2 separate regions of the Mus musculus genome follow, and region 1 is reported to be linked to region 2. Evidence: microRNA targets listed by miRTarBase, many of them from high-throughput screens and not tested one by one. Region 2 holds a microRNA gene; the other region holds the end of a gene's coding sequence.

What was found. Region 2 holds the annotated microRNA mmu-miR-669a-3p (ACAUAACAUACACACACACGUAU, at 2,136-2,158, shown strand). A microRNA usually pairs through its seed, bases 2 to 8, with sites in the 3' UTR of a target mRNA and lowers its output. Matches are read on the target gene's strand: a 7mer-m8 pairs with bases 2 to 8, a 7mer-A1 pairs with bases 2 to 7 and ends in A, and an 8mer does both.
Region 1: the mRNA of Rnf11 is a reported target of mmu-miR-669a-3p. Seed matches in the 3' UTR shown: 7mer-m8 at 1,349-1,355.

What each region holds. Positions count from the first base shown.
Region 1 is chr4:109,451,384-109,454,491 of GRCm38, reverse strand. Rnf11 (ring finger protein 11) reads left to right here. Exons shown (of 3, transcript NM_013876.3): 3 at 70-1,635. The coding sequence ends at 241. Among named protein-coding and RNA genes, the nearest start is that of Rnf11, 24 kb to the left of the region's middle.
Region 2 is chr2:10,499,255-10,502,362 of GRCm38, forward strand. Mir669a-11 (microRNA 669a-11) reads left to right here and starts at 2,085; the gene lies at 2,085-2,171. The region is part of intron 10 of Sfmbt2 (Scm-like with four mbt domains 2); the gene reads left to right.

The DNA.
Region 1 (3,108 bases), not on the chromosome of region 2:
TGTATTTAGATTAACATTAACACTGTTTCACTTATGTGAAATTTTCTGATTTCTTCTTTGCTCCCTCAGGTGTGTGATCTGTATGATGGACTTTGTTTATGGGGACCCAATTCGATTTCTGCCGTGCATGCACATCTATCACCTGGACTGTATAGATGACTGGTTGATGAGATCCTTCACGTGCCCCTCCTGCATGGAGCCAGTGGATGCAGCACTGCTTTCATCCTATGAGACTAATTGAGCCAGGGTCTCTCGTCTGACTTCAAGTGAACCATCAGTTTTGGTGGTTTTGATCTTTTGTCACTGAGCCCAAAGAGCCAGGGATTAGGAATTAAGATCATGCACAAAAGTTTCCTAAAAATTCCTGGATGGCTGCAGATGTTGAGGGAAGTATGTGATATTTTAGAAATTTAGGGGGAAAGTAGGATGGATGGTATTTTTATGTAAAGCCTTGACCCAGTGTTTAAAATATAATTGTTATTAGACCTTGTTCTTGCTCCAGTACATAGGAATTGTGTAAAGTGTTACAGCAACTGTACATGTTTAAATTGTGTGTGTTGAAGCTTAGGAAAAAGATAGTTGTTATTTTTCCTAAATGAAATAAGTTTCTTCTCCCACCCAAATTCTTTTCTGAAAAGTTACTGACATTTGGGTCAAGGTTTTATTAAAAGCTACATTTTATAACACTGGCACAAAAAAAAAAAAATAGTAGTTTTAAGCTTGTTTGCACAGTTCTTTTTTTCCATTGGAAATGGAATTCATTGCCTTAGGTCTTTTTAAATAGTGTATTATTATCGTTGGGGCTGGCTCTATGCTTGAAAACCAGTTTATTTATAACCTGTTGTAAGTGCTATATTCTGTTTGCAGTTAGGAAATGCAGAATTCACAGTGATCTCCTAGCTTGTAAGCAAACTGAGATGCACTATCCCTTTTCTATTAAGAATGAGTTGATGTGTCAGGAAACAAGGCTAGCAAAGTGGATTTGATATCCCTTTCCTTGTGTGTCTTATCTTATTGTTTTGGTGGTTAATATGGTGATAATTGAAAGTCAAGTTGAAATTCAAATATTAATATTTCTGATTTGTTGAGCTTTGAATTATGCCACCATGCTTATATAAAAACGAAGGTGGCACCATGATGAAACTTAAAGAAACAGTTTCTCATCTGTAACAGTTTTGATTCTCTTTCCTGTGACCTCTTTCCCCACTGTCTGGAACCATAGCAAAAGGATACTGCATCTCTTGTTACTGTAGTGCTGAGGTTATTGAAGTTACAGAAACACATCTGGTGTGTTTCCTAGAAAAGTACCTGTTCAGTCTTGCTAGGTGACTGACAGGAGAGGCAAATGTGTTATGTTTTGCACACCAATGCAGCAGGGTTTGTATAACCACATGACTTCATAGTTGTGATCTCAAAGGAACTTCTCCTTTATTTTTTCTTGCAATTAATGTAAGAATACTCTAAATCTCTGCACTTCTGAAGGATTAGAGGTAGAAATGGTCTAGTAAAGTGTAATGTTTTATTCATTTAGCATGTGTTTATTTTCCTTATGTTCTCCAGGTGATTCGTTCCTTCCACTCAGTGATATTGTGGTTAAAAAATGATGAGCAGAAGCGCTCTCCACCTTACAAATGAGAAATGTTCTTTTATATTGTGTTGAGTACTTGACTAACACTTTTTTACATACAAAAGTTTCTTGAAGGTTCTTCATAATTGCGGTGTAGAAGAAATTATGTCATAAATAGTTAATTGACATTGAGTTGAAGCAGTCATACATTGCTTAGATTCCCAGTAGATCCCATGATGGAAATATTTAAAGATGAACTTGGAAATACTGAAATTAGACTATCAGGTTCTGTTAAATTGTCTCGTATATCTTGCTTAATTTCTGTTCATTAATTTATATCCATCCAATTATAAAGTAAATTTGGAGGAAACAGCTGAAGTTGTGCCATATTTTTAGTGATAACTCTTTTTAAATTCTTATGTTTTCTAATTATACACTTGTGTGTCATCAAGTATTATAGTCAGACTTTTTTCCCAGGTTCTCAAAATTTGTAAATGTACTTTTCCCAGTCTTTCATGGTGCAGTCTAAGAATAACAACAATAACAAAACCCCCTTCTGTCTCAGATAGTACTGAACTGAGTGCTCTTGGGTGATTCTTATTCTTTTTAACTTTATTCTGCATACAACTATGTTAAGAACCATCAATTTTTGGCATCTACTAAATTGTTAAAAGTTATAATATAGCCGTGAAGGGTTTAATGTTAAGAGTTGGTTACATGTTCTCCAGAATATCTGATCTTTTTATACATACACATACACACACAGTGCTTAATGTTCTGTTTTTCTGTGTGTATGTCAGGAAAAATCACCTTAGGGGCAGCCTTTACATAATAGTAAGGACTTAGACTTTATCCCAAATCATTTTCTTTACACATCAGTTTAAAGCTTAGGGAACTATTTTTCATTGCTTTGTAGTTACTATGGTTTAAGCACACACTTAGAAACTAGATAGCTTTAAAGTTTCCTAAAGCAGGTGTAGAGGGTTTAGAAATGGACAAGACTTGTTCCAGCGTGGCTATGGGATTTGAAATGTCTAGAAAGCCTAACCAAGGAAAAGGGAGGTTTATACAAATTGAACTGCTTGGATATACTTTAAATTATGTTTACATTTGTGATGGTTTGAATATGCTTGGTCCAGGGAATGGCACTATTAGGAGGTGTGGCCTTGTTGGGGTAGGTATGGCCTACTTGGAGGAAGTGTGTCACTGTGTGGGTGGGCTTTGAGCCCTTCCTCTTAGCCATGTTAGAGCCAGTCTTCTGTTTGCCTTTGGAATATGCTATAGAGCTCTCAGCTCCTCCAGAGCCATGCCTGCCTGAACACTGCCATGCTTGCCACCATGATGATAATGGACTAAACCTCAGAACTTGTAAGCCAGTCCCAATTGAATGGTGTCCTTTATAAGAGTTTATAAGAGAAGCCTTGGTCATGGTGTCCCTTCACAGCAATGGAAACCCTAAGACAACATTCTTACAAGGAATCTCTTAAATTGGTATTGGAAGACGTACCCCACCCCATGTGTGTCATTATTTCATAGAACTT
Region 2 (3,108 bases):
CATAAACACACGTGTATATGCAAGCACACACACACAGGAAAAAATTGCATTCATTTATACGTTGAATGATATGTGACTTAAAGTTTTAAATATTATGCAGTAGTGGGTCAGTGAATGGTTTTACTCACCTGGTATGAAAGATTGTGGATCAGGAGTTCTAATTCATGCTTTACTTCATGATGACTTAGAGATATGCCTGGGATTCATGTGATGCCCCCTATGTATATCTATCTGTATCTGTTTCTATTGTGTGTGGATTTGAGTATATGGATGTACCTATCTACACAAATATATACATGTACACAGACACAAACAAAACACACACACAAACATCAGTGCAACTCATCGATCCATTTGAATGACGTGTGACTTAGAGTTTTAACATTCCTCAGTACTGAATGGGGACAGGTCTCACTCAGCAGGTGAAGTCCCTTCACAGAGTCAGGTGGATCAGGAGTTCAAATTTGTGCTGAATTTCATGATGAGTTCATGACCAGCATGGGATTCATCTTATGCCCACCAAAAATGTACATGTGTGTATAGTTGTGTGCATATTCACTTCTCTATATGAATATGCATATACACGCATGCACACACATTCATAGGAATGGCCAGAGCTATGTCTCAGTTAGGAGGTGAGTACTCTTGCCAGAGTCAGGAGGATGAGTAGTTCAAATTCATGATTAACTTCATGATGAGTTAGAGTTCAATATGCCATTCATGTGATGCCCACCAAGAATGTGCATGTGTTTATTCTTGTGTACATATTCACTTTTGTATATGAATATGCATATACTCACATGCAAACATACTCTCACTAACGGCCAGATCTTTGTCTCAGTTAGGAGGTGAATACTCTTGCCAGCATCATGAGGATGAGCAGTTCAAATTCATTTAAACTTTATGATGAGTTAGAGATCAGTCCAGAATTCATGTGATTTTCCCTGTGTATGTGTGTATGTGTATAGGGAAGTGTGCCTGTACATGTGTGTATATGAACATGCATACACACACACACACACACACACACACACACCGAGGGACACATACATGTGCACACAAACACACATGTCAGTCAGCCATTTGATTTATACGTGCTTAGAGTTTCATTGAGTGTATATTCATGGTATATGGAAACATCCAACTTATCACATGAAAACCGCTTACCAGAGTTAGGAGTCTTCTCGTGTCAAATTCATGCTTAACTTCATGTAGAGTTAGAGATCACCCTGGATTTGCGTCATGGACCCTAGGTGTGTACATGTGCATATAATTGTGTGTGCACGTACATGTGTGTATATGATCATCCCTATAAATACACACACATACAAATGTATTCACACACACACAGGCATGCACACTCACACACATAAGAATGACACTCATTGATCCATTTGAATGATATATGTCTTAGAATTTTGCTGATTATAAAGTAGAGGGACAGTGAATATTCTCTCTCACCAGGTGTAAACAATTGGCAGTGTCAGGAAGATCAGGAGTTCAATTTCATGCTTAACTTCATGAGCAGTTAGAGATCATCCTGGACTAATGTGATGGCCCCTATGTATGTGCCTGTGTGCGTAAGTGCCTGCATGTATATGCGTGTATATTTTATGCATATACATACACACACCTACACACACATGCACACAGACATGCGGGAATGGCCCTCACGGATCCATTTGAATGAAATGTGACCTACTGCTTTGGAGGTTATGTATGACTGGGCCAGGGTGAGGTCTCACAAACCACGGGAAAACCCTTGGTAGAGTCGGGAAGATCAGGAGTGCAAGTTCATGGTAAAGGCATGATGAGTTAGAGTCATCCTGGCATTCATGTGATTGCCCCTATGTATGTGTGTATGTGTTGATGTGTGTGTACATGTACATGTGTGAATATGATATACATATACATACACGCACACATAAGACACATATGAGCACACAGACACATGGGAATGGCACTCATCAATCCATTTGAGTGATAAGTGACTTAGAGTGAAAATGCTTGCTAGAGTTAAGAGTATCAGGAGTTCAAATTCATACTTATCCTCATGAGAGATCAGCCTGTGATTCCACCATGTATGTGCATGTGTGTATAGTTGTGTGTGCATGTTCATGTCTATATTTGAATATACATAACATACACACACACGTATAAACGCAAGCACACATACACAGACACAGGAATGGCATTCGCCAATCCCTTTGAATGATAAGTGATGTAGAGTTTTAGCGATTATGCCATAGGGGACATTGAATGTCCTCACTCACCAGGTGTAAAAGATTGACAAAGTCAGGAGGATAAAGATTGCAAATTCATGCTTAACTTCATTTGGAGACATCTTGGTATTAATGTTATGCAACCCATGTATATGTATGTGTGCTTACTTGTATGTTCATTGTATGTGTTGACATGATATACATAACATAAACACACATGTATATGCAAGCACACACACAGGAAAAAAATTGCATTCATTTATACATTTGAATGATATGTGACTTAAAGTTTTAAATATTATGCAGTAGTGGGACAGTGAATGGTTTTACTCACCAGGTGTGAAAGATTGTGGATCAGGAGTTCTAATTCATGCTTTACTTCATGATGACTTAGAGATATGCCTGGGATTCATGTGATGTCCCCTATGTATCTCTATTCTATCTGTTTTTATTGTGTGTGGATTTGAGTATATGGATGTACCTATCTACACAAATAAGTACATGTACAGAGACACAAACAGAAACACACACACAAACATCAGTGCAACTCATCGATCCATTTGAATGACGTGTGACTTAGAGTTTTAAGATTCCTCAGTACTGAATGGGGAGAGGTCTCACTCAGCAGGTGAAGTCCCTTGACAGAGTCAGGTGGATAAGGAGTTCAAATTCGTGCTGAATTTCATGATGAGTTCATGATCAGCATGGGATTCATCTTATGCCCACCAAAAATGTGCATGTGTGTATAGTTGTGTGCATATTCACTTCTCTATATGAATATGCATATACACGCATGCAAACACATTCATAGGAATGGCCAGAGCTATGTCTCAGTTAGGCGGTGAGTATGCTTGCCAGAGCTAGGAGGATGAGGAGTTCAAATTCA